Linked DNA regions of Callithrix jacchus. The protein of the gene in region 1 interacts with the protein of each later gene in a pairwise test. Links are inferred from orthologs where the notes say so. Each region holds a gene or a part of one and is shown on either strand. Other genes may lie near its edges. The genes, in order: REL, GADD45G, testis-specific serine/threonine-protein kinase 3, NCK2, TSTD2, LENG1 and PLEKHN1.

Region 1 (3,949 bases):
ATATTCCCCATTCCCTCTCTGTACCTACCTGCAGTAAAGGATAGCGGCAAGGGCACGGAACTTTGGAGTCAGACAACCCTGGCTTTTAACTGTGTCTTTTCTTTTACCAGCATTCTGAAGTACTGTATGTTGAAGTAATTCTCTGAACCCCAAATTCTTCAGCTATAAAATTAGGAATAATAAATGTCATAGATGAGGTATAGAAATTATCTGACCTATAGCAGGTACTATTCAAATGAAAGTAACGAAGTTATCCTAGGTCCTTTAATGGCCCTAAATGTTTGCTCCATTTCCCCTTTTCTTGGTATCTATGTGAAATCTCGGAATAAGGTGTCCACTTCACTAAACTTGAGTACACTGCGTAATGAGACAACCAACTCGAAGTGCAGACCTTTTGAGTTTAAACGGGTTTCAGCAGGTAAAATACATAAAGTTCACAGTGCCCTCGCAATTTAGGTAGACGAAAAAAAATCAGCCGGGGGGTGGGGTAGCTCCCCGTATGCAAATGTAGGAATTACAGAAGAAGACAGGCCCCCGCGCTACCGCACTTCCCCCTCCACAGTCCCGCGCGCTGGCGCGGGGGTGGAGATTTGCATGTGCGAAATCGGGAATAGGGGGAACCACCTCTCGAAAACCCCGGCCGTCGCCCTCCCGGGCTGCCAGGATCAGCCCCACTTGGCCGCCCGACGCGCCCCCAAAGGCTCCCGGGCGGCCGGCCCTCTCTACGTCACCCGCACCCTTCCGCCCGCTCCTGAACTTTAAACTACACTCGGAAGAACAACCTGGAGGAGGGGGATTTCTTAGGAGCCGGCGGCCTTCTCACGCTGCGAGCCGTCACCTCCCGGCGCCCACCGTTCCCTGCGCTCCCGAAGCTCCCTAGGTTCCCGCAGCCTCGACCCCCTGCCAAGACCACCACCACCACCACCGCCGCAGTGGCAGCAGCAGCTCTGGGGGCGTACGCGCGGAGGCGGGCAAAGAGCGTGAGCGTGCGCGGGGGGGGGGGGGGCCGCGAGGACGCGACGCCCCGCCCCACGCCTCCGGGTGAAGGCGGCCGCGTCGGGTATACGTCAGCCGCGGGAAATTCCCTCCCGCCAAGCAGCCCGCCTCTCGGCCGGGCGGGGAATCGGTTCTCGCCCCGCTCCGCCCCCTGCCCCTGGCTCCCGCAAGGTGGACAGGCGACGCAGGGCGACCCGGAGCGCAGGAATTCAGGGGGTGGGAAGGTGTGATCCTCAAACCCAACCGAGGGCGGGAAGAAGGAGGAGGACCCTGGGGTGGTCGGGGGACTGGGGGCCCCACCGGCACAGGTCCCTCGGCCTCCTGATTGACTGACTGACGGACTGACTGCGGCCGCCTCCGGCCGGGACGCTGGAAGCTGCCTGCGGGAAGGCGCGGGGAGCGGAGCCATGGCATCCGGTGAGTGTTACCGGGGGAAGGAGCTCTTCTGGGGATCCTGCCGCTGTGAGTTTAGGGAGCTTAGTTTTGGCTGGGGCGCGTTCTGTCTTTGAAATGTTATGTGATAAAATTGTCAGCTTTTTAAAAAGTCACCTGGTTCAGGGTTTGCGTCCGAAATCCAAGCCACGCTCTGTAATTTGATCCTGTTGTCATAAGCAAGAACCTTAGAAATTGCCAACGACTTTAGGATTAGGGAAGTCATAATCGAACTAAAGGAGTACGAGGAGTTCCCATACTTAAAAATGGGTATGTATTGAAGTGGTGGTTTTATGTTTTAGAACAAGAATGAGGAACCTTCAGACCTCGGGCAAGCTCTCTCCCCCTTTTTAGTTTAATTTCATCAGATGCAAAGAGGTGATCCCCCTTGTACTGACAGTTGTACAAAATGTGGCGCGGCTTTAAAAATCATCCGTGGTATTTTAACACGGATTTAAAAATCCGTGGTATTTTAAGTTTTAATGTTGCTTCGACCAACTGTGGGCCGGACACGGTGGCTCATGTCTGTAATCCAAGCACTTTGGGAGGCCGAGGCGAGCGGCTCACCTGAGGTCGGGAGTTCGAGACCACCCTGGGCAACATGGTGAGACCCCGTCTCTAATAAAAATACAAAAATTAGCCCGTAGTGGTGGCGCACGCCTGTGATCCCAGTTATTCGGGAGGCTGAAGCAGGAGAATCGCTAGAACCCGGGAGGTGGAGGTTGCAGTGAGCCGAGATCGCGGCCCTGCACTAAAGCCTGGGGGACCAAGCGAGACTGTATTTAAAAGAAAAAAAAATGTGAAGTTTTTATTGTGAGATAAAGCACAAGGTTTCTAATCTGACGAATAGAGACGTTGAGTCCCCGCTCCTCCCGGCTAAAAATAAGGGAAAAGGGAGTTTTAGAACATCGTGCTTTTAAATAGTAAGTAGGATTGAATACAGCTTTATTACTTTTAAATATATAATTTCCCTTAATAAATGCTCGAATCTCTTCCTTCCTCTCTCTCTTATACATAAGTTTATAAGAAACATTGCAAGGCAAGGAAGAGTCTCGTGTATACACAGACATGGTTTGGGGCTGCCTGTAGTTTAAGGTTAGGGGCGTAGGGGAGCCGGAGCTGGGGCCGGGAGATAAATCAAGTAACCTGGGTTCGATTTGGACTTTTACCAGGATTTTGGCAAGGTGAGTGGGGAGCGCTTTCCAGACAGAGGAAGCAGCGTGAGCAGAGGCAGGAAGGGCTAAACACATATATTAAATGCTGTACTAAGAGAATGAAGAGGGGGCCCCGTTTCTGAACTTGACTCCCATCCTCAAACTGCCTGGTTCAGTGACTCTTAGAAGAAAGCCGATGTCTAGTAGAGAAGAGGAAGTCGAAGCTTAAAGAATCTCTTTAAAAGGTTGAGCAAAACAATGCTGTAGCTATTGCTGTAGGCAGAAAAGGAAATTGGGGTGTTTCACTTGACATTTGATTTCAGTTTGTGGTTGTGAGAATACAAGTGTAGTTTAAAATATTTCAACTTTCCCTTTACGTGCTTAAGTGACCCCAAACTTTCAGATAATTCTGTACGTTTGTGAATTCAAAGCATGTGTAGATTGTAAGTGCTAACTAAGATGACTTCAAATATTTTGTTAATTTATTGGTTATCAGAAAGATTTTGTTTGGAAGTAATGAAGAATACCTAACGTAAGTAAGAAAGTTCAGCCTTCTGGCGATTTAATCAAACATTACTAATATATTGCATGAATGTAATACTTCTAATTTTTTCAAATGCGAGAGAAAACAACCATTTCTATATAGACTATTCTAAGATTCACAGGATTTTAAAATGTGTTACAATTTAAATTTGTTCATTGACACTGTATTTTGTGCTGTTGTGAGGACCAAGGATTCCCTAAATGTAAGGAGGAAATGTTTAAAGAAATGGAAAGTTTTAAAGGTTTGGAAGTTGAAGGGTGATTTAACTTTTTGTTTTTTGGTCTTTTCTGAATAGTTGCATTAAAATGGGACTATTTAAAATGTAACAAGTTATTTAAACTGTAATTCAGTTATTAGAAAACTGTCAGGCCTGGAATTTAAAAAAATGATTAAACGAATCTGTGTACTTTTCCTTAATCTGTTATATAAAGACCTTAGAGATAGAAAAAGATTCGCTAATGAAATTCTAAATTCCCATTCTGTTTTGAAACAGTAATTTAACCGGAAGAGTGACCAAAAAAAATTGCTTAGTTTTTCATTGCCTAATTTAGATTCTGTTGGTAGTAAGGTAGCATTAAAACTCAAAAAGTACTTTTATTCATTACAAAGCGTTTAAGAATATTTCTTCATTTCTCACGAGATATCATATATGAATAGGTATATGTAGTTGAATATGTGATATCTATAATGTAAAAGTAACAGAAATCATAATCTAAGCAAAATTATATAATTTAGAATATAGTTTAGAATCATGTATATACATATGATTCTAAATTTTGTTTAGATAAGTTAGCAGATTATTTAGGATTTCACATCGTGTATT
Region 2 (3,389 bases), on another chromosome or scaffold:
TCAGCACAGCGTAAGACAAACAGGCTCTTACTCCATCAGCACTGGATGGGAATCTCCTTTCGCCCTCTACTCCCCGCAGTTACTTTGGATGCGATTTGCGGCCCTTAATCGGGTTCCTGTTAATGTTGGACAGGGCTCAGTGGGCCTGGCCGGGCAGCTCCGTGTCCGCCCCCCACCCACCGCTCTTCTCCCGCGCCAGGCCAACGGAAGGGTGTGTGTGTTGGGGAGAGGGGAGGAGAAAAGGGGTTTTAGGATCTTTCGAGCTTGCCTGTAGATGGCGCCCCGGGAAAGAGATTCTGGCCGCGGGGTTCCGGCCAGAGGGCGTCCAGCCTTGTAGACCGCGCACCAGCTCCCAGTCCTTCCCAACTAGCGCGACTGCTGGGCACCCGTGCGAGAAACGGGTGGAAGGGAATTACATGTAGCAGGGCCAATACGGGGGCGCGCACTCAGGGACCACGGAGTGGCACGCAGCCTCGACCCCACGCGCCGGGCAGCCCGGCGACCCCCACGCGCGGCGGGGGCCTGCCCGCCCCACCAGGCAGCAGGTGGACAGTGTTGCTATGAAGAGAAAGCCTGGATTGTCCCTACTGCAAACCGCCACACGCCAGACCTCTGCTATTGTGCGCCCTCCATAGAAATGCAAACGAGCGGCGTGCGCCGGCCGCAATCTGCTCGCCCCCGCCCGCCCCCCTCTCCGGCGCCCAGCGGTGCTCGGCCAAGGGCGGGGAGGTGGGGTAGGAGCTTCCAGCGACAACTCAATGTATACATTGAGTGTGCGTGGGAGGCATCGTCGGCGCTCTCCGGACGCTAGTGGTCAGCTGCAAGGGGCTGTGCCCACTGCCTTTTGCAAGCCCCTAACTGGCACTGCTTTTACCTTAATTTCCGGCTCCAATGCAACAGTTTCATAAACTTCAAATTAAAGGAAAGAAACAAATAGAAAGGTAGCAATAAAAATAAATGCCAAAAAAATTCCTTTTGATTCTATAAAGGTGCTTTTCGCAAATTGCAGCAACCTATTAGCAAACAAGGTTTTTGTGGGTTGGTTTTTTTTTTTTTTTTCTTTTTCCTTTTAAGGACTTCAAAAAAAAAAAAAAAAAGGCGAGATGAAATCTGCAGGCTCTAGTCTGCCTGGTAACACCCCAACAAAAGCGGCAGATTTGAGGCATTGTCATCCCCCGCACCCCTCCCCACGTGGCCTTCTGGCACGAGCCGCCGGCCCGCCGCCTCATTTACATCAGAAAGCGGGTGCCGGCCAATAGGCGCACAGCCTCGCGCCAGCTGGCGGCGCAGCACCCTCCAGCCTATATAAGGGCGCGCGGCGTAGCAGGGGCGCAGTCGCTAGTGGTAGATGAGCCGAGCCGAGATCTAACTCACCGTGTGTTCTCCCGTGCCCCCTCCGCGCTCTCCGCTTGTGGATAACTTGCTGCTGGTCGATCGCGCTATGACTCTGGAAGAAGTCCGTGGCCAGGACACAGTTCCGGAAAGCACAGCCAGGTGGGTCTCAGGGCTGGGAGAAAGCGGCTGGTCGGTCGGCGGCCTTCAGGGCCCTCCAGGGTGGGAGTAGGAGCCTGGGGTATCGGCGTAGGAGCCGAGCGCTGGGGTATCGGCGGCAGATCCAGGTTGGAGAGGTTGGGTGCGGGCGCCGAGCCGGGTCTGGAGTGTAGTTGGAGTGCCACGGGTGCGTCCGGGTGCGTCCGGGTGACCGGGGCTGGGGGCTCCTACCCCGACCGGCTCCGGCTCACTGTGCTGGCTCCTCCGCAGGATGCAGGGTGCCGGGAAAGCGCTGCACGAGTTGCTGCTGTCGGCCCAGCGCCAGGGCTGCCTCACTGCCGGCGTCTACGAGTCAGCCAAAGTCCTGAACGTGTAAGTGTAGACACTGCCAAGGCTGGGATACCGGGGCGGGGGTGAATGACTAGGAGACGGGCGGATGGGAGGGGTGGCGGCGGGAGACCTCTGCTCGCGGTTTCTGACCTTGGTCCCCACCTTGCTGCCCTCGCAGGGACCCCGACAATGTGACCTTCTGTGTGCTGGCTGCGGATGAGGAGGACGAGGGCGACATCGCGCTGCAGATCCATTTTACGCTGATCCAGGCGTTCTGCTGCGAGAACGACATCGACATCGTGCGCGTGGGCGATGTGCAGCGGCTGGCGGCTATCGTGGGCGCCGGCGAGGAGGCGGGCGCGCCGGGCGACCTGCACTGCATCCTCATTTCGGTGAGTAGAGTCCCGTCCCGTCCCCGCCCGGGTGTCGTTCCCGCCTCGGCCGGCTGCCAGCCAGGCTGACCCTGCTCTCTCTCCGCAGAACCCCAATGAGGACGCCTGGAAGGACCCCGCTTTGGAGAAGCTCAGCCTGTTTTGCGAGGAGAGCCGCAGCGTTAACGACTGGGTGCCCAGCATCACCCTCCCCGAGTGACGGCCCGGTGGGGACCTTGGTCTGATCGACGTGGTGACGCCCCGGGGCGCCTAGAGCGCGGCTGGCTCTGTGGAGGGGCCCTCGGAGGGTGCCCGAGTGCGGCGTGGAGACTGGCAGGCGGGGGGGGGCGCCTGGAGAGCGAGGAGGTGCGGCCTCCCGAGGAGGGGCCCAGCAGCGGCTGGGCCAGGCTGGCCCGAGCTGAGGACTCTGCAAGTGCATGGAGCGGGCTGCTCGCCCAGGAAGGCCTAGGCTGGGACGTTGGCTGCAGGGCCGGGAAGGACAGACTGGCCGGGCAGGCGTGACTCAGCAGCCTGCGCTCGCAGGAAGGAGCGGCGCCCTGGACTTGGTACAGTTGCAGGAGCGTGAAGGACTTAGCCGACTGCGCTGCTTTTTCAAAAACGGATCCGGGCAATGCTTCGTTTTCTAAAGGATGCTGCTGTTGAAGCTTTGAATTTACAATAAACTCTTTGAAACAAACTTATGCTCTTTATTGAGGGTAGGGGATCTTTGTGTCGGGGGAGGTGGTGAGCAGGGTTTCAGAGGATTGCTGGAACTTCGTGGAACTAATGGCACCTGTTCCGTCTTCCTGTCGGCAAGAATGACAGGCTCGTCGGCGCTGGCAGAGGAAGGGCATGCTGCCCACTGCTAGGGTAGAGCTTGGGCCCAGCTCCTACTTTTCTCCTTTTAGGTAGATTCTAAACTTGCAAAACAGGAGCGTATTTTAGATAAGACATCAGTGCAGCAACTAAAGCCTCGCCTTCCAAAGCGATAACAGTGACCTCTGCCTCCCCTCCCCCTCCCTCGGTCCCCCTCCCCCTCCCTCCCACAGCTGCTTATCTGAACAGCTTGCTGGAGGCCGCAGGCTTTCCTGCACAATGAGCATTGCCTTCTGCAGACCCTGCCCTTTGTGGTCCCTGAGGACGGTGGCAGGCTGCTCCTGCTCTTGGGGACTTTTTCCTGTTAAATGCTCTGACACA
Region 3 (3,620 bases), on another chromosome or scaffold:
TAAAAGTATGCTTGTGTAGGCCCAAGAAGCGCAGAGAAAAATAACCCTGCTAAGACCACGCCCCGCACACCGAGCCCCTCTGGTTGCGGCTCAACCCCACAAGGGTCCTAAGGCCTCGCAGGCCTCGTCTGCAGCGGGCCGACGTCGAGCTCGGGCCTCGCCCTTCCCCGACGCCCTCTGGCTAGGCCCCGCCTCAGACCTGCCCGCAACGAGGGCCCGCCCACCGACCGCGCCCCCTGTGGTCCCGCCCCTCACCGGCTCTCACGGGCGCAAGGGAACTAGGTGTCTCTTCCTTTTGCCCAGAAAATAGTAGTTAATATTCTGCCAACGGTGCTTCCACCTGGAGGGAAGGGAAATCGAAGACAGGGTGCAGGCAAGGATCCTCTCCCTCCGGGTCTGCGCCCACTCCGCCCAGCCCCTTCCTTCCTTCCGCTCCCTGTCGCCTTCAGGCCCCGCCCTTCCCACCAAGTTCCGCCCACTCCCAGGCCGGGATCTTCGGCTCTGGGGATCCGCCCTTTCCCTAGACCGCGCCTCTTCGCGTAGGCCCCGCCCCCCGTCTACTCCCCGGGTCCTCGCCCCGCCCCTCCCCCGCGCACTCACGTGAGTCTCGGGCGTGCGCCGTAGCAGCTGGGCCAGCGTGCTGAGGGCACGTCGGCCAGGCCTGTGTCCCCGGGCAGCAGTAGCAGTTTGCGTGCCGGCCAGCGCCAAGCGGCGCCCGGAGGGTGGCGGCGCTGCGGGCTCAGCCAGTAGTCACCCAGGCTGCGGCGGGTGGCGGATACCGGCAACATTGGGCCCCGGCTGCCCCAGAAACACAACTCCTGGTCCAGGCGGTGCGGGGTTGTGGCCCGGGGCCGCCTGCGGGGGAGATGGCACAGCAGTCACCCCTGGAGAACAGGACAGGCGGGGAGGAGGGAGCTTCCTCGGATCGGATGAGGCAGGGCGCGGGCCGGAGTCACTCCTGGTCGATTTAGAGGGACTGGAGGCCCCTAGCGGGGCCTTCCCAAAGACCTGGGTGCCTCCTACCCCAGCCGCCAAACCAGGGCGCTTTATCCCGCGGGCGCCCTCCCTTGGTCCCCCTCACCGGGATAGAAGAAAATTCACCACGAAGTGAGCAGTCTCGGTGAATAGCATGATGTCCAGCCGGTCTGGCCCGACTTCGGCCTCTTTAATACCTGCCTGGGCGTGGAGGGGGAGGCCTGAAAACCCATAGGCCCCCTGGGACCGACTGTTTTTAGCAGGAGGCCAGGAGGTGTCAGCTGGCAGAGGAGGTGGGGGTAGAGCTGGTCTCTCGTGAGGTCTAGTCTGGTCTGCCCCCACTGGCCACTTCAGTGGGAGGGGGCTGGTCACCGGATCTCCAAGTTCACCAGAGACACTCCTCAGGGCCAAAGACAGAAGTGCAAGGACAGGGAAAGGCAGTAGGAGGGGACCAGGGACAGAAAGGTCAGCTGCCCGTTGGAAAAACCCTACCCTATCCCACCCAGGGCCTCCAGACCCTGCTCAAACAGTTTTTTTTTGAGACAGGGTCTCACTTTGTCATCCAGGCTAGAATACAGTGGGGTGATCATAACTCACTGCAGCCTCGACCTCCTGAGCTCAAACGATCTTCCTGCCTCAGTCCCCCAAGTAACTGGGACTACAGGTACTCACCACCACACCTGGCTAATGTTTTGTATTTTTTGTAGATACAGAGATTCACTATGTTGCCAAGGCTGGTCTCCAACTCCTGAGCTCAAGTGACCCACCAGCCTTGGCCTCCGAAATCTAGGATTATAGCTGAGCCACCAAGCCCAGCCTTTTCTTTTCTTTGCGTTAGGGTCTCAACTCTGTCACCCAGGCTGGGGTGCAGTGGCACAATCACTACTCACTGCATTCTCAACCTCCCAGGGCTCAAGCAATTCTCCTGCCTTTGCAGGAAGACTGCTGGGATTGAAGCAGCTGGGATGGCAGGCCCATGCCACCAAGTTCGACTAATTGTGTGTGTGTGTGTGTGTGTGTGTGTGTGTGTGTGATTTATTTATTTATTTTAAAGATGGGGTTTCACCATGATGGCCAGGCTGATCGTGAACTCCTGACCTCAGGTGATCCACCCACCTCGGCCTCCCAAAGTGCTAGGATTACAGGCATGAGCCACCGTGCCTGGTGTTTTTGTTTTTGTTTTGTTTTGTTTTTTAATAGAGATGGGGTTTCTCCATCTTGACCAGGCTGGTCTCAAACTCCTGACCTCAGGTGATCCACCCACCTTTGCCTCCCAAAGTGCTGGGATTACAGGCGTGAGCCACTGCGCCCGGCCATTTTTTGTGTTTTTTTTGTAGAGATGAGAGTTTTGCCATGTTGCCTAGGCTGGTCTCAAACTCCTGGGATCAAACAGCCTGCCCCTCTCCCAATCCGCTTTCCCAAGTGCTGGGGTTGTAGGCGTGAGCCACCACTCCTGGCTGGCCTCACACATTCCGGATGGTGTGCTCAGGCACAACTCACACCTCAAAGGGCCTTCTCTTCTCCCAGGCTTAGATGCACCCTGACCTGTTCCCATGGCCCTCATAGGAGCCTTTTCCCTAATTCTTTGCATGCTTAAATGTCAGCTCCTCAGCCAACTCTAGTTGGAGGCTGCTGGGGCTCCAGGACCCCCTAAACTGTCAGCAAAGTCCTGGTCCTGACACTTTCCTTCCCTGGAACTGAAAAGTCGATCTGTTTAACCCTCTCTTTTTGCAGAAGAGGCAACAGGTTCACAATGGGGCAGTGAAAAGCCAAAAGTAAAACCTAAGCTTTCTACAACTCTGCCTGCTCTTACAAAAGGTGAGACAACCCTTCTGTGTGTCCTTGTCCAGCTCAGGGCATGGGGTTCAGGGCTCAGAGCCCAGGCTGCTCCTGGCTCCTCCCTGATCCCTGGGGATCCTAAGGAACATGCTGGCCCAGCTCCCCTTCCCACATTGCCAGTTTGGGCTATTTCCCCTCCAGTGACTCACACTGGCTGCTGGGGAGAGTGGGCAGCTGTTCTGAGCCCCCAGAGCCCAGAACAGGTCCTGACTTGCCCCCCAGGTTGTGCAGCCATATTTGGGAATTTAATCTTTTTTTCCTCCATGGGGAATCTCCTTCCCCTAATCCCTTCTTTTTTTCCCTATCTTCAACCATTTTCCATATCTTCAGCCTCTCCCTCCCTGATGACTTCTTCCCATCAGCAGACAAAGAAGCTCTAGCCTTTCCTATCTTTGAAAAAAGAAAGCCCTCCCTCCACTCCACATCCTTCTCCAGCTCCCCTCTGCAGCCAGCATTCTTGAAGGAGTTGTATACACACGTTGTTTCCACTTCCTCACTCAGCCCCTGCAATCTGGCTTCCTCCCCCACCATTCCACAGGAACAACCCACCAAGGTCACCACTGACCTCCTTGTTGCTAAATCCAAGGGATGCTTACAAGTCCTTATCTGTCTTGACCCCTTAGCAGTGGCCAGCTTTGACACAAATAACTCCCTCCTCTTTGAGGTACTTTTAGGCCCTTGTATTTCTGGATACTGTGCACTTTTGATTTTCTTGCTATCTTACGGTTTGCTGCCACATGGCAAATTTCTTATCCTTTGCTCACTCCCTATTCATGGTTGTTCCCAGGCCTGCTAGTCTGTCCCTG
Region 4 (4,033 bases), about 37 Mb from region 1:
TATTGAGCTATTGAGGGCTACCTACTGCCAGGGTACTTCACATAGGAGATAGGTAAATATTATCTCCTGGCCGGGAGCAGTGGCTCGCACCTGTAATTTCAGCATTTTGGGAGGCTGAGGCAGGCAGATCACAAGGTTAAGAGATCGAGACCATCCTGGCCAACATGGTGAAACCCCATCTCTACTAAAAATACAAAAATTCGCTGGGCATGGGATCGGGCACCTGTAGTCCCAGCTACTCCGGAGGCTGAGGCAGAATCACTTAACTGGGCAGGCAGAGGTTACAGTGAGCCGAGATCATGCCACTGCACTCCAGCCTGGCAACGGAGCAAGACTGTCTCAAAAAAACAAAAACAAAAACAAAAAACTCCCCATTTGACAGATTTTAGAAAGGATAAGGCCCACCTGTGTGAAATTACACAGTTCAGGAAGTCAATAGTCACTCACCTGTCTGACTGCAAAGCTACACTGCCTCTAGTTACCTATCTTAGGGTATTTCCTTTCTGGAAGAGGCAGGAGATGAGTGAGTCAAATAATACTGCTTTATAATCTTGGGTAAGTTATTATTGCCTTAATAGTAAGCAGAGATTAGGAGCCTAAGAAAGAATCTTATTAACATGGATGCAGGCTATCCTGCCAGAAAATCAGAATTATTTGAATATTAGAATTTCCTTTGGGAAATCACATGGGGAGGAGCAAAGACATCCGGATGAAAGTGCCTGTGAAAGGGAAGCTTGTGTTTTTCCCCTTGCTCTTGGGTTTTAATCTTCCAAGTTTGTTTACAGGTTAGCCACAACTCGAGGCTGTGTGGGCTGAACGGTCCCACTATTAGCCACCCACCTTCTAGGGGCCCATTCGGGCAGCTCCTCTTCGGGTTTTGCCCCACGGGTGTGCAACCAGGATTCCACTGGCTGGGGCTGGCCTGGATGCCTGCGAGGCAACAGAGGTCGAGTTTCCTCTCCTTCTTTTAGGGAGTGCCTCGGACGGGATGATGGACTAAAAACGTGTCTGGTTGGGAAAGTAAATAGATGCAAGGCAAATAAATAAAAATGCCCACAAGCAATTACAGGGAGGAAGTGACATTTTTATACAAGTCACTTTTCTGATGGACAACAGGCCTGCTTCGCTGACTGCCGTGGGAGTGCTTCCGGGACGGGGGCGGCTGCCCAGCAACTAGAGCTTCGTGATAAGAACATGAAACAAACAAAAAAGAGCACGCAAAGCCCACCCGGCAGTCATCCGAGGCTGGAAGTTACCACTTGGGTTTTCACTCTCCTCCCCACCCACCGCCCGCGCGCAATTTCGGGCGTAGGGACCCTTTCCTGCACCGGACGCCCGGCCCGCGCTGCGCCTGCAGAGCGGAGCGTCCCCTAGCCCTGCTCTATCCCGGAGCGCTTACCGAGACCCAAGACGCGGAGCCTGGTGGCGCCGGGGGGCGCCCCAGGTGGGTCTCGGGTCCCCGCCCCGCGCGCCCGGGCCTGGGCCGGCCCCTGGGCGGCGTCACGGCGCGGCCGGGGAGGAGCACGGGAGGAGGAGGAAGAGCGCGGAGGAGGCGGGCGCTGAGCGCCGGGGGAGGGTCGCCGCCGCCGCTGCCGCCGCCGCCGCCGCCGCCGGGATCGTCAGGCCAGAGCCGCGCGGCCGAGCGGGCGGCCGGCGGAGGGGAGGGCTCGGCGGCTGGGAGGCTCGCGGCGCCCGGGCCGGCGGGGTCCGCCCGGGCCGGCAGCGTCCGCCCGGCGGCGGGAGGAGGGAGCGGCGCAGACAAAGAGCGGCGCTTGGGCGGGCGCAGCGCGGCCGCCGCCCCGGGACCCGCGCCGCTGCCCTCCGGCTCCGCGGGCGGCCCACGGCGAGGTAAGCGCGGCACGGCGGGAGCGGGGCGGGGGCCGCAAACTTGGGGCCGTTGGGCGGAGTTGGGAGCTTAGCGGGGCTCTCGGGCCGGGGCGCGCCCGGGCAGGGGTTGGGAGAGCGGGTCCACTCCGCGCCCCACCGGTGCTCTCGGCCCCGCCGCGGCCTGGGCACCCCCGACCGCGAGCTGCCCCGCTCCTCCTGGCCCGGCACCTTCCTGCCTGCCTTCCCGTCCCCACCCCCCGCCATCGGGGGCCGGCGCAGGGGCGGGGACGCCCGCCAAGGGCGCAGGCGGGGATCAGGGCAAGGGGCCCGGCGGCGGGGCCCGGGGACTCGAGACCCCCGGGTGTGCAGGCAGCTCTTGGCCTGCTGGCCGGCGGCTGGCACGGAGCTTGGGGCTAGCGTAGGACCGTGCAGTGGCCAGGGTCGCCAGGGCGCGCGTGCTAGGGAAGAAGAGCCGGGGATCTCAGGGCCCCGGCGCAGGGACGCGGGAGGCCGAGATCGGCCGGGAGAACTTAACTGTGTTTATTACAACTATTTATGATCGCGCACAAAGCTGCTGTCACATCGCATAAAGGAGGTCCTCGCGTCGGCGAAGGGAGCTTTTGTGCCCTGCTTCAGGCTGTGCGCCCTGCCCCAGATTTACAGGACTCTTACAGCCACCTGAACCAAAGTTTCTCACAATCGCTCGGCCTTTCGGTTTCTTTCAGGGCGATTTAACCACCGAGTGGTTCTGGAAACATTTGATATGTGAGTTTTAAGGCACCCTAACTCCCTTACAAACACAGTTAGCTTGGCATTGTGTGGAGGGGTTTAATTTGCCACACACTTTAACTTGTAGACAGTAAGGATCTCTGTGAAGGTCTGCGCTGGATGCTAGGGGTCATTGGCTGGTGGACCCCAGGCACCTGACTTAAACTAATATTGTAACAGCTTCAGGGACAAAGCCGAGCGTGCATGGAGTCGGCCTTGGCCACTTCAGACAATTCAGGTTGGCAGATTTGGCTTTATTTTACCAACAGGTTTAAGGTTGCTTCTGCCAAGTTTGCGTCTGCATAATGGGATAAGCAGGCCCTAGTGTGGGCAGGAGGGGCTTAAAATATCGCACTGGCCAGCTCCCTCCCTAGACCCAGAAAGGAACTAGCCAGAGAAGCCGGTGGGCGTGGCTTGCTCGGGACCCACAGGTAGAGGAGTCCCTTCCTGGCCCAGGCCCCAGACCCAGTCCCTGCTTCTCAGAAAGGATTTTGTGTAGGAATGAAAGTGATTCAGGTTGTGTTTCATGCTTCTGTTTTGGATGTAGTTATCGAATCTGAAAAGTGACTGAAAATGAAATTAACCTGGGCTGCTTTAACTTAACAGTACAGAACTGTGCTTGTGAACACTCCCTCAATTCACTTTCCAAGCGTTCATAAACGGGTGAATTAGTAACAGGATTCAAGCCAGTGTGAGGTTTCTGTAAAGAGAACGGCAGTCATGGGACACATGGAGAAGAAATGCATTTCATCTGGAGATTGGGCTAGACATGTAGGTTTTTTGATGTTTGAAACAGGGATTTCCTGCGAAGCAAGTGTTAACCCTGCTTGTGAAGAAGTGACCACAAGGGAAAATCCTACCTCAGTATTTTCTCCCCTGGAGGTTGGTTAGATGTAGTTTTGACTGGAGACGGTGGCAGAATCTTAGTGCTCTTTTGGCGGCTACTTGATGCTGAAATTAAGAACTTTGGCCATGGGAATCTGTGGAGGTGCCTGGCCCACTTCCTGTCCTGGAGGCCTTGCATGGATTCTGAGCTTCTTTCCTGCTTCATAAACATTCAACGGGATTGATCATGAAACACTGGATGAAATTGGGTCATAAATTACCATCAGGGAAAGTTGGCTGCTGCATAAACCCCTCTGTCCGCTTGTGAAGAAACTGACCCTATTAACGATGGGACTTGCTGAAGGCCCTTTTCAGGTAGCTGTGCTCAGTTTTCAGGCTTTGTGTTTTGCTTAGGACACACTACATACTTAAATCTTCTTCATCTCTCTCTGTTTGATCCTGCTGTACTTACCCAGGCACTGTCATTTACATTTGGGGTTATTTAGCTTTTCCAAAACACAGCAGATCTTATGTACACAGTACCATATTTGAGAAATGCACTATCATCCATATTAAATACACTGGAAGTCCTCCTTGACTGTGCACAGACTGG
Region 5 (3,500 bases), on another chromosome or scaffold:
GCTGTGGATAAGATGGCACCCACATGCTTTTCTGGTTAGAGTATAAATTGGCACATTTTTCTGGGAAGTCACTATTACAGATTAAAATTTCATGCTTTTTGACCCCTCAATTTTTATTTTAGATATCCTATATAGATGGTTAAAGATATAGAAAGAGGATGCATGGAAGCTCATTCAGCATTGCTTATAATAAATGTTCATCAGGTGGCAACTGGTTAAGAGAATTTTGTTTGTTTTACAATAAGCATAAGTAATTTTTATAAAAACAGTAATATTATTTTCCAAGAAAGAAAACATTTTGGTACATTTCTTCCCAGTCTTTTTCAATGTACTTTTTTAATGTGGTTGAGATTATATTGCATAAGCAAATTTTATCCAGTTTTTTTCACTTAACATTATTATATCATAAATCTTTTTCCATATAACTTAAAACTGGCTGCTTAATATTCCATGGTAAGCATACTCCATAATTTACTTTCCATTTTCCTTTTGAAAATAACTGATAGTGTTATTTGTAATATTTTAGGCCAAACTGTATTATGTATATTCCACTGTAACTGATTCCTGAGAATAAAATTATGATGCTGAGAGTTATTTAACCTCCTTAATATAAAGCCTAGTCTTAATTTCTCTAATAGTCCCTTCTAAAGCTTACTAATAAGAGAAGTGTTACTCTTCAGAGAATTGTATAGCATAATGGGACATAAAACTGGAAACCCCTGTGGAAAGATAATATAAGGAATCTCACTGAGACTTCTATTGGCCGTAAACTTAAGGTTATTTAACAGTGTTTGTGTTTGTAATCTAATTGCAGGCCTTTGCTCTTTTTGTCAAAACCAAAGAAGTTCCAACAAAAAGGAGTTTTGAATGTAAAGAAGAATTGTGGAAATGCTGTCAGCAACTATTCACAGACAGAACCAGCATCCATAGACATGTGGCAACACAACATGCTGATGAAGTTTATCACCAGACAGCTTCTATTTTAAAGCAACTGGCTGTGACATTGAGCACCTCAAAGAGTCTTTCATCTTCAGATGAAAAGAACTCTCTAAAAGAGTGCCTTCCACATAGCCATGAAGTGTCTGCTTGGCTCCCTGATATAAGCTGCTTTAACCCTGATGAGCTGATAAGGTAAGATTTTCATTCTGTATTTTGGTTTGATTTAAAGTATTTTTCCAACCACAATGAGATACTACAGTTCACCCATTAAAATGGCCAAAGTGAGAAAGACTAACTCTGCCAAATGTGAATGAGGATGTGGAACAACTGGAACACCCGGTCACTGCTGGAGGGAATGTAATATGGCACAACCACTTTAGAAAAGTGTTTGGCAGTTTCTTAAACATGCATTGTCCCTGTGGCCCACGCCTGGGTATAATGCCAACAGCAATAAAAACATGTCCACAGAAGGCCTTGTACAAGAATGCTCATAGCAGTTGTATTCATAGTAACAAAAAACTGGAAACAACTATAATTATCCATCAACAAGAGAATGAATAAACTGGTATAGTCCCATAAGAATACTGCATGACAATGAAATGCTATAAACTGCTAATATGCAAGAACATATATGGGTAAATGAGAAAATCCTTATGCTGAGTGAAAATAGCCAGACCTGGGCCATGTGTGGTGGCTCATGCCTGTAATCCCAACACTTTGGGAGGCCAAGGCAGGCAAATCACGAGGTCAGGAGTTTGAGACCAGCCTGGCCAACATGGTAAAACCCCGTCTCTACAAAAAAATACAAAAAATTAGCTGGGTGTAGTGGCAGGTGCCTGTAATCCCAGCTACTCGGGAGGCTGAGGCAGGAGAATCATTTGAACCTGGGAGGCAGAAGTTGCAGTGAGCCAAGATCACACCACTGCACTCCAGCCCCGGGGCTGGGGTAAGAAAAAGAAAATTGTAATATATATTTACTATTCTTTCAGTGGAAGTGGCTCATCATAAAGATCTTCACCCTTGTGACCCTTACATTGAGTAGGCTGAGGAGGAAGAGATTTTGGTCTTATTGCCTCATGAGTGCTAGAGGCAAAAAAAGATCTGCAAATAAGTGGACTTGCACAGTTCAAACCCATGTTGCTCATGGGTCAACTGTAGTCCAAATATGATAAATTTTTGTCATTACTACTCAGTGCCACATTCCCTTTGCTTATTGGAAAGCAGAAAGTTAGAAAGCAAATTGAAGTAGGAGTCACACTTGAGCTATTCACTAAAATTTTCCGTACCTTCATTTCCTCACCTCTAAAATTGGAGTAACAATCCCTGCCTTGCCTTCCTCCCAGTACTGCAGAATGGATTATATAGGATGGTGATAGAATGAGCTCTTGTGAACTACAGTGTGCTACACAGATATGGCCATTCCATTTCATTATGGCCCCACTCTTCAGGGAATTTACTTACTGGTTAGAGTAACAAAGAAAAAGACACATGAGACAGATTAGCAGATGATACAAAACAGGTTATATAATTACCAGTTGAATTGTATGGTACAGAGACTAATTTGTTAAAGGAGCTTAGAGAAAGGAAAATAGGATCTGAAATAGGCAAGAAGGTTTCATGGAGGAGACTAGGCCCTGCAATATGATGAGGCTGTTGATGAGAGACTCAGACTCCAGAGCTGGAGAGGACTTTAATTGTCCTGTACAGTAGCATTCCCTAAAATATGTTCTGTGGAACACTAGTTTTAGAGGCTGCTAACAAGATATTGAAAAAATGGTTATGAAAGACAAATTTGGGAAGCACTCAATCAAACTGTTGTTACTGCAAGACTTCTCAGAGCCTTTAATAGATTAAGAGGCTTTTGCTGTGATTCTTAAGGAGGGAGATGCTGTCTACAGGGTTTCCAAACGTGACTTTATAGAGCAGCTTCATAACACACTTTGGAAAATATAATTTATTTGCATTCTCATTTTACAGATGAGGAAACTAAGGCCCAGAAGTGATGAAAAGACCTGCCCAGGTTTCACAGCTAGTTGGTTTAAGACAGCACAGTGCAGTAGAGAAAGAGCATAGATTCTGATGTCAGAAGACTGGCATTCAGGTCCTTGCTATCACTTTCTGGCTATCTCATTTGTGAGGAATTGGCCTCAGTTTATTCAGCTATAAAATGGGGATAATAATAACCTGTATCATAGAAAGGGTTATAAGAAAAAACGTAAGTGATCCTGAAATACCATAGGGGAAAAAATTTTTTTTTAAATTTAAAAATTAAATAAATATAAGAAAAAATAGAAGTGAAACTTTTTTGTATGATGATTCATACAGATCCTTCCTTATATGAGAGGATAAGCCAGAATGGAACCAAATTTCTAACTTGTCTATGAATTGGAGTTACTAATACCTGTCTCTTGGATATGACCATTAAATGAGGGACCAAAGTAAACTCACTTTTGTAAAGTAAGTTTGGTACAGATACTGTCTTCTGTACAGCAAATATAAAAGGAAATTGCTTTTCATTTCAGGAGGAGAACGATAATCAGAGCAAAGGCAGGCATGAGTGT
Region 6 (4,256 bases), on another chromosome or scaffold:
AGAATGAGTGTGAAAGGCAAACAGTGTTAGGAAAATAGGCTTGACACCACGGCACCCCCCGGAAAGGGAGTCAGGACCCCTAGGGCTCCCTGGACCACATGGTGAGAACCACTTTTCCACCCAGCCATCCCTTCACGGGGTCCCTGGCTGTTCCACCCAGAGCTCCTGCTGTGCCTGTGCCAGGCTGCTGCCAAGCCCTGAAGATCTGGGTCCTGCTCTGCCAGGGCAGGGTCCTCCTCCTCACCCCTTGGGTCGCTGTGTCTCAGAGCCATCCTTTTCCTTTCTGCTGTGATTGCCTTCATCACTGCTGTGCCGTCTCTTCTTCCCCAGATGCTTCTGCATCTCCCGCAGAGGGTCCAGGCGGCTCTTTATTTTCTCATCTGGGGCTGGGCCAGGCGGGGGACCCCCTCGCTCTGGTGGGAGCTGGTACCAAGGGGGTTGAGTCTGGGCCTCGGCTGCACTCTGGCCCAGGTATGTCAGGATGCCCAGAGCTTTCTCTTGTCTCTCCTGAGGGGTCAGGAAATAAAAGAGATGGGATATAATCTTTCAGGGTGTCAGGTTTATCTCCCTGACACAGGTATCTAAGGCCTATGGTGAAGCAGCTGTGCCAGGTGCTGGGGAGGGAAGAGACCAGCAGAGGCCAAGCTCCTGCCCTGGGGTGACGATAGCAGGGACAGTCACAGAAAGCAGAGGAAGGAGGGGATGGGGTGGAGCTGCCTGAATGTTCAGAGGCAGGCATCTTTGCAGGGAGCAAGCAAAGCAAGAGGACCCGTGGGTGGGGTCAGCAAGTCCAGAGACAGCAGGTGAGGAACAGGAGCTTTTACACTCGATCTTAGCCAAAAGGCAAGAAGTGATTGATTCACTTTTTTTTTTTTTTTTTTCCTGAGATTGAGTCTCACTCTTGCCACCCAGGCTAGAGTGCTGTGGCACGATCTCAGCTCACTGCAGCTTCCACCTCCTGGGTTCAAGCGATTCTCCTGCCTCAGCCTCTGGGACTAAAGGTGCATGCCACCATGCTCAGCTAACTTTTTTTGTATTTTTAGTAGAGATACCATGTTGACCAGGCTGGTCTTGAACTCCTGACCGCGGGTGATCTGCCCACCTCAGTTTCCCAAAATGCTGGGATTACAGGCATGAGCCACCACCAAGCTGATTTAGATTTTTAAAAGCTCATCAGGTTTGAGACCCCTCCAGTTTGGAGACCTGAGCAGTTCACCTAGCAGCTGGGGATCTCGAGCATCTACCTCCAAGCCCTGAGGGCACCCAAATGGCAACAGCCACCACTTCTGAGTGTGCTTTGGTATGGTTCTAAATTCTGAGTGTTCACTCTTGTTTAGCCTTAGTCACAACCAATGGCTAAAGTGTCCCTCCCCCCAGCTCCATTCATGTCTCTGATGAAGTAGATAAGGCCAGCTTACTTTCTCCTGTCGCTTTTCTTCCTCGTGCTCTTTATTGCCTCTGATCAGGCCTTTCCCCTCCTCCAGCAGCTCTCGAAACAGGTCCACAGGGCCAGAACTTGGGGCTCCCACCTCTGCTGCCTCAAGCTCAGGCAGTGAGTTCTGATGTCTGGCTTTCTTCCGTAGGAATTCTGTACGGGCCTGGGGAGAAAGTTACAGGCAAGACATTAAAAACCTAAAGGTAATTCAAGAACTTTTAAGTCTGGTGCGCACCACAGGAAACAGCAGTCCAGGGTGCTGGGTTTGTAAGAAAGGGGGCACCTGTCCTAGCAGGGGTGAGGGTAGGCAGATAAGGCAACACCTGGGTTTTGTAAACTGCCTTTCAAATAGTAAACCACACATCAAGGATGGCTGGGAGGAGGTCCCTGGCCTAAACCAAAGGGGTTCCTAACCTCAAGTGAGACAATTAAAACAGCTATAAAGGTAGAACAAACTGCATTAGGTCAGATGATCTGGATTCCAGGCATGGCTCCAAGTCATTACCCCAAGTCCATTGATGAAGCCCGGTCTCCCACCTTCAGGACAAAGCTCTCAGCAGCCTACTGAGATTCTAAAAACCCAGACTACCTCCCTCCCAGTGTGGAGGATCAGACTGGCTAAGGAACTGAAAGTTAGGTGTACACCAAACAGATTTAAGGAGCTATACATAAAGCCCATGTTTGTGTGTGTGTCTGGGGGTGGTGCAGGGAAAGGGCTCGCCCAAGGGGGTGGAGACTTCCCCTCCCTTGACGCCATCTCACTTCGTGCCACGGAGATGACAATGCCTCTTTAAGAAAGAACGGTGCTTAAGGGGGATTCTGGAAGTCAGGCGTTCTGCATGCAGTTAGCATACAGTAACTGCTCAATAAATAGACTGTGCAAGCCAACTAGAAAGTGATCCGAATTTCCTCAAACTGTCCAAGGAATCCTGAATTCGGTAAACATTTATGCTTCTCTTTTGTGCTAGACACTGCTCTAGCCATGTGAAATACATCAGTGGGGGGAAACAAGACGAGGGGGCGATCAAGGGAGATTTCATGCAAGTGGGCACAACGTTTGCCGAGCAACGTTTCGGAAAAGAGGTCCGCGCCGGGTCACGAATTACATACGGGGCACACGGCGCCTGCGCAACGCGTCCACTTCCGGCCCCCTACCATGGCGCCTGCGCGCTGGGCCCCGGAGTTCCGCCCGGCCGGTTCCCAGGCTTACCTCCTGCTGAGCCAGCAGCACCCTCCGCTCACGCTCCTTCTCTTCCTCCCGGGCCTGGGCCTCGTCACGCCGCACGCGGGCAACATTGTCCTTGTTCCGGACGTGCCAGCTCTTCTTGGGCAAGATATTCATGGCGTCGTAGCAGTCCACGGACTGGCACGCCCGCCTCTCTGCACTTCCGATTGGCGAGAGAATGCCCCTTCCCTCTTGTCCCTACTTCGACCACAGATTGGTTCTTAACTCATTGGTACGGCCCCCTGGCCTGTAACGACAGGTGATTGGCTAAGACGCCCTTTATCTCAGCGAATGCCAGGCTTTTGGCGCGTGGTATCCCCTAGCAACCGCTTTTCACATATCCGAGCCAATCGCAAGTTGGCCCTCCCCTAATGCCAGATTCGGCCGCCGATTGGCCAACACAACCATCAAGTCTCCTTGCGGAAGAGCACTTCGAACGGCCACACATTCCCATGCATTTGATTGGCTCCCGCCCTGATGTAGCCCTGCCCCCACCTTCAGGACGCAGATTTCAAAGCGCGCTCAGTCACCTCGGCTGTGTTTATTCATAGAAGAAAGATCACCCGAGAGTCTGGGACGTGGCGGCGAGGGTCTCTGGAAACCTCCAGATCCTAGAGCTGGAAGAGCGTGGGGTCTTCTCTAGTTCTCCTAGTTTTACAGATGTGACCTAGGCTTACAATTGGCCTGGAGTCTGAAGGTGGGACATGGGCTGCAGGGGTCAAAAAGCCGGGTGGGTGGAGCTCAGCGCCACAGCGCGCCGTGCGAGGAAGACTTTGTTCTGCGCCTCCTGAGGCAAAGAGAGGTGGAGGTCAGACAGCCCTCTCCCCCAATGCCTTTCAATGTCCCCCACGGGGTCCCTCTCAGGGACCCGCCTGGCTCACCGTCTCTCTCTGACGTTTGAGCTGAGAGATGAGACGACCGTAGGAGTTAGCCAGAGCCACAGTGTACGCCATCAGGATGCTGGAGGAGACACGAACAGAAGCCACTCCTGACACGCTCCTCCATTCTATACAAACCCCTGGCTCCTTCAAAGCCAGGATGTCATCTACAAGGACTTCAGTCTCCCAGCCCAGGAGTCCTAAGTCCCACCCTCCTCCTCCTCCTCCTTTGGACCCTAGGCCTCCTCCCACCCCGAGCCTCTCCTCTCTCCGACGCAGGTGGTGGCCCCCAGATCACGTGCATTCAAACCCAGACCCAGAAGTCTGGGCAAACTCACCTGGAAATCAGCAGAAGGGGTACAGCAAAAGCCTGAGTCCCCAGGAAGAAGAGGAAGTTCTGGGCGGTCTCAGGGAGGCTGGAAATAGACTCAGGGATCTGGGCCCAGATGGACGACTGCCCCCGGAATGGACCACATAGCTTAGAAGGTGGGATCCTGAAGTCAAGATAGGCTGGGCTCACGTAGAGCCAGGAGTCTGAACGCTGAACGCAGGGAGAGGGAGGGAAAGAGGCAGGAGCCTCTCGCACTTACAGGAAGATGCTGTAAAGCAGAGGAACGCTGGAGATGGCCAGACCCAGGAGAAGGACCAGGGGGAAAAAGAAATTCGCTGTGGAGGCCCGGAACGTGCGGGCAGCCGGAGAGCAGGTGAAGAAGAGGGT
Region 7 (3,195 bases), on another chromosome or scaffold:
AAGCGGGCAGAAGGCCATTGGGTAAGCATGTGTTGGGGACCCTGTTTCCTCAGGGGACTAAGACTGGAGGGAGCCCCTGGCAGCCTCAGGGAATTGCATGGAGAGGGCCCCAGAGGCTCTTTCTGGAAGGTCTGTGGTCCTCACAGGACCAGGCCAACTCTGACCCCACCAGCATCTGCCAACGGAGGACAGAGCTGAGGCGCAGAGGCAGCAGCCGGTCACCCAGGAGCAAAGCCCGGGCAGAGGGCCAAGGCCCTGCCATACCACTGCACCTGGACCTGACACAGGTGGGCCTGGCACACCGGGGTGGGAGTATGGGCCCTGGCCTGGCTCCCACCACTCCTCATCTCAGAGAAGGAAAGAGTTAGGCTGCTTCGAGCTGAGGAACACACCTCTCCCACCTCTCCCCTGCAGCTGAACAGGCTGAGCCTGGAGGGCAGCTCAGAGGCCGCTGGCCACACAGAAACACCACACTCGCCCCTCTATGCCGACCCCTACACCCCACCGGCCACCTCCCACTGCAGAATCACAGATGTCCAGGGCCTGGAGGAGGTCAGTCCCTTGCTGAGCCAAAGAAAGGGTGGGATGTGCGGCCACCTGAGGTCGGGAGGTACCTGCACCCCAAGGTTCGGGGTCTAAGGAGGTCTAGCCCATGAATCTCGCCCTGGGGTCCGGGGCTGCCCAAAGCCTGAGGTCTGTTCTGACTGTGCTGGGAGGTTGAGTTTCGTTGCTGGGGTCCCTGGTGCCATCAAGGTTCCAGCCCAGGCCCTCCCTGCAGTTCCTCAGCGCCACGCAGAGCTCACCTGGACCTGTGCCCTTGAGCCCGCTCCCCTTGTTGCCCACATCTGTGCCTGTCTCTGACCCTGGCTCCAGCTCCCCCTGCCCCACTGGGCCCCACTTGCTCTCCAAGAAGGGAGCCTTGCAGTCCAGAGCCTCTCAGAGACACCGAGGCTCAGCCAAGGGTGCAGGGCCGCAGCCCGCAGACGCCCCTCAGCTCGTGAGTAGCAGCCCCCATGCCGGTGTGCCGTGGGCTCTGGGGGTGCTGGGGGGGCTGGTGTGGGGGCCTCCTGGGACTCTAAGGGAACAGGGAGGGAAACAGGAGGGCAGGGGCAGCTGGAGACCAGGGCAGCCAGCAGGGAGGCAGGCAGACAGGGCCAGGAAGGGAGAGCAGGGGTCATGTGGGTGATGCAGGGTCCAGCACTGCGCATGGACAGGCTGCCTCCAAGCTGCTTGCCTGGGGCCGTGCCCCTCTTAGACTTGTGGTTTGGGGTTCCCAGGTCTCTTCTGCCAGGGAAGGTTCACCCGAACCTCGTCTGCCTCTGACAGGTGAGTGACAGTCCTGCCTCCTAGGGAGGGTGCCTGTGGCCTCCCGTAGGCTGATGCATCTCTGCCTTCCCCCTAGATGGCCAGCCCCCCAGGAGGAACGAGGGCCCAGGCTGCAGCCACCCCTGGGATGAGACTTTGGCTTCCTCCCACCAGAAGTGCGCCCAGCTGGGAGGGCATGAGGCCAGTGGCGGGCTTGTGCAGTGGATCTGATGGCCCCAGCAGGGCAGGTTCTCAGGACCACCCTTGCCAGGCCTCCATGACACCCACCCCCTAAGCCACTTCAAAGTCCAAGTCAGGGTCTGAACCCAGTGAGGTGGGGGGAGTCTCCAGGGCCCTGGGCTCCTCAGCGCCAGCAGCTGGGGTGAGGAAGGGGCCCCATCCCAAGGACACCCTGGCTGGAGAGGCCAGGTCACAGGTCAGGGAGGCCCTGGCCATCCACAGGGTTGGCCCTCAGCTCAGCCAGCCAGGAGTCGGGGAGGAGACTTGGGGCGTTCCTGGGAGTGGGAGGGTGGCATGGGTGTGAAGGTCGGAGGACAGAGCAAGGTTAGCAGGGTCAGAGTATGTGAGGTCAGAGGGCAAGAGGGTCACCGGTCAGCAAGTGTGAAGGGCACAAGCCAGGGTGTGGGTGGGGGTGTCCCAAGGAGGAGGGCAGGTGCGGCCTTGTGGCCTGGGTGTGTGCAGCTTGGGAGAGGCCGACACCACCGGACAAGAAAGAAAAAAAGAAGAGAGAGAGAGAAAGAAAAGATTTTATTGGTGCCGCGTCTACATGTTCTCTGCTCAGCAGCTGGGGTCTCCCACAGTCTTGGACACCCTCTCACGCTCCCTCGGGGTTCCCCCATCTGGCACCCAGCCAGGCAGCCCCCTGCTACTGCCACCTCAGGCCCCTCACCTGCCTTCCCACTGCGTCTCTCACCCCTCTCAGCTGTGCCCCACAGCACCCCACTTCTGCCACCTCAGTCCCCTCACCTGCCTTCCCACCACGTTTCTGACTCCTCTGAGCCCCCAGGAGAAACCCAGAGCCCAGTCCTCCATCTGATGCCACCGAATTCTCCCTCAGCACCTGCACCAAGGGCCCTCGGGGCTCTACTGCAGACCCCCCACCCTGCAGGGGCCGCCTTCACTGTGTCAGGCCAGAGCCCGAGAGGCCTTGGCCACAGTCCCTCTGGAATTTGGGGTGATGAGCCTCGGAGCCCTTGCCACCAAGCCTACCCATGAGGAGGGCAGAGTCCTTAGACCCCCCACCCGCTTTGAGGCCACCCCATGTCCTCACTCCTTCCTCTGCCCAGAGCTCCTGTCCCGCCGCTCAGCCCCACTGCATCCTGGAAGCACAGGGGCGGTTTCCAGGTAAACAAGTCACTTCTCAGTAAAATGGCCTCCGTAGTATTGCACGTCCGAAATTCAAATTTAACCACATGCCCCGTGTTCTCATCTGTGAATCTGGCCACCCTGCTGCCCAGCCACCTGCCCGGCCTCCACCCACCGAGACTGGCATCTCCGTCCCCAGTGTGGGGAGCAGCTGTGCTCACTGGCTGGACCCTCAGGTGAGTCCTAGGGAGCAGCACCAGGACACGCCCCCCCGGACCCCGCAGAAGACGAGTCAGGGGGCCCCGGCGAGGGCGGCACCTGTTCCAGGCACCCGTGCTCAGCTCCTCGTCCTGCGTCTCCCTGGCCCGGGCCTGGCTCCTAGGAGCTGGGGCTGGGGCTGCGGCTGCGGCTGCGGCACCCTTGCCTCACCTGCCGGCGGAAGAATCGGATGGCAGAGACGGTGCCAATGTTGGCCAGCAAGACTGCAAGGGAAGCACAGGGTCTCCTGAGGGCCAGCTGTGGCCGTCAGCACCATCTGCCCGAAACGCTCAGGACTCGAAGGAC

Evidence for each region.
Region 2: the proteins of REL (region 1) and GADD45G interact in binary tests that used the Homo sapiens proteins (3 or more experiments, as listed by UniProt). The two-hybrid records come from large-scale screens. The link is inferred for Callithrix jacchus from reciprocal best matches to the Homo sapiens genes REL and GADD45G.
Region 3: the proteins of REL (region 1) and testis-specific serine/threonine-protein kinase 3 interact in binary tests that used the Homo sapiens proteins (3 or more experiments, as listed by UniProt). The two-hybrid records come from large-scale screens. The link is inferred for Callithrix jacchus from reciprocal best matches to the Homo sapiens genes REL and TSSK3.
Region 4: the proteins of REL (region 1) and NCK2 interact in binary tests that used the Homo sapiens proteins (3 or more experiments, as listed by UniProt). The two-hybrid records come from large-scale screens. The link is inferred for Callithrix jacchus from reciprocal best matches to the Homo sapiens genes REL and NCK2.
Region 5: the proteins of REL (region 1) and TSTD2 interact in binary tests that used the Homo sapiens proteins (3 or more experiments, as listed by UniProt). The two-hybrid records come from large-scale screens. The link is inferred for Callithrix jacchus from reciprocal best matches to the Homo sapiens genes REL and TSTD2.
Region 6: the proteins of REL (region 1) and LENG1 interact in binary tests that used the Homo sapiens proteins (3 or more experiments, as listed by UniProt). The link is inferred for Callithrix jacchus from reciprocal best matches to the Homo sapiens genes REL and LENG1.
Region 7: the proteins of REL (region 1) and PLEKHN1 interact in binary tests that used the Homo sapiens proteins (3 or more experiments, as listed by UniProt). The two-hybrid records come from large-scale screens. The link is inferred for Callithrix jacchus from reciprocal best matches to the Homo sapiens genes REL and PLEKHN1.

Annotation. Positions count from the first base shown.
Region 1 is NC_133515.1:53,247,950-53,251,898, reverse strand, and holds the start of REL (proto-oncogene c-Rel), read left to right. Parts: upstream 1-1,149; 5' UTR 1,150-1,403; coding exon 1,404-1,413; intron 1,414-3,949. UniProt on the Homo sapiens protein: Proto-oncogene that may play a role in differentiation and lymphopoiesis.
Region 2 is NC_133502.1:73,441,998-73,445,386, forward strand, and holds GADD45G (growth arrest and DNA damage-inducible protein GADD45 gamma), read left to right. Parts: upstream 1-1,331; 5' UTR 1,332-1,441; coding exon 1,442-1,494; exon of another isoform or gene 1,495-1,761; coding exon 1,762-1,863; intron 1,864-1,999; coding exon 2,000-2,213; intron 2,214-2,301; coding exon 2,302-2,412; 3' UTR 2,413-2,889; downstream 2,890-3,389. UniProt on the Homo sapiens protein: Involved in the regulation of growth and apoptosis. Mediates activation of stress-responsive MTK1/MEKK4 MAPKKK.
Region 3 is NC_133508.1:68,965,795-68,969,414, forward strand, and holds the start of testis-specific serine/threonine-protein kinase 3, read left to right. Parts: upstream 1-1,309; intron 1,310-1,541; 5' UTR 1,542-1,639; intron 1,640-2,709; 5' UTR 2,710-2,793; intron 2,794-3,620. Other genes in the region: uncharacterized protein LOC144576966, read right to left, coding at 262-340, 601-855, 1,102-1,208. UniProt on the Homo sapiens protein: Serine/threonine protein kinase required for spermatid development and male fertility.
Region 4 is NC_133515.1:15,811,286-15,815,318, forward strand, and holds the start of NCK2 (cytoplasmic protein NCK2), read left to right. Parts: upstream 1-1,233; 5' UTR 1,234-1,444; exon of another isoform or gene 1,445-1,500; coding exon of another isoform or gene 1,501-2,361; intron 2,362-4,033. Other genes in the region: uncharacterized protein LOC118147454, read right to left, coding at 1,501-2,361. UniProt on the Homo sapiens protein: Adapter protein which associates with tyrosine-phosphorylated growth factor receptors or their cellular substrates. Maintains low levels of EIF2S1 phosphorylation by promoting its dephosphorylation by PP1.
Region 5 is NC_133502.1:145,751,996-145,755,495, reverse strand, and holds part of TSTD2 (thiosulfate sulfurtransferase/rhodanese-like domain-containing protein 2), read left to right. Parts: intron 1-814; coding exon 815-1,131; intron 1,132-3,500.
Region 6 is NC_133523.1:47,340,471-47,344,726, forward strand, and holds the start of LENG1 (leukocyte receptor cluster member 1), read right to left. Parts: upstream 2,801-4,256; 5' UTR 2,778-2,800; coding exon 2,646-2,777; intron 1,599-2,645; coding exon 1,419-1,598; intron 508-1,418; coding exon 245-507; intron 1-244. Other genes in the region: voltage-gated chloride channel TMC4, read right to left, coding at 3,379-3,447, 3,542-3,620, 3,877-4,032, 4,129-4,256.
Region 7 is NC_133508.1:39,194,571-39,197,765, forward strand, and holds the end of PLEKHN1 (pleckstrin homology domain-containing family N member 1), read left to right. Parts: intron 1-146; coding exon 147-287; intron 288-414; coding exon 415-552; intron 553-778; coding exon 779-997; intron 998-1,277; coding exon 1,278-1,326; intron 1,327-1,402; coding exon 1,403-1,536; 3' UTR 1,537-2,695; downstream 2,696-3,195. Other genes in the region: PERM1 (PGC-1 and ERR-induced regulator in muscle protein 1), read right to left, coding at 3,010-3,113. UniProt on the Homo sapiens protein: Controls the stability of the leptin mRNA harboring an AU-rich element (ARE) in its 3' UTR, in cooperation with the RNA stabilizer ELAVL1.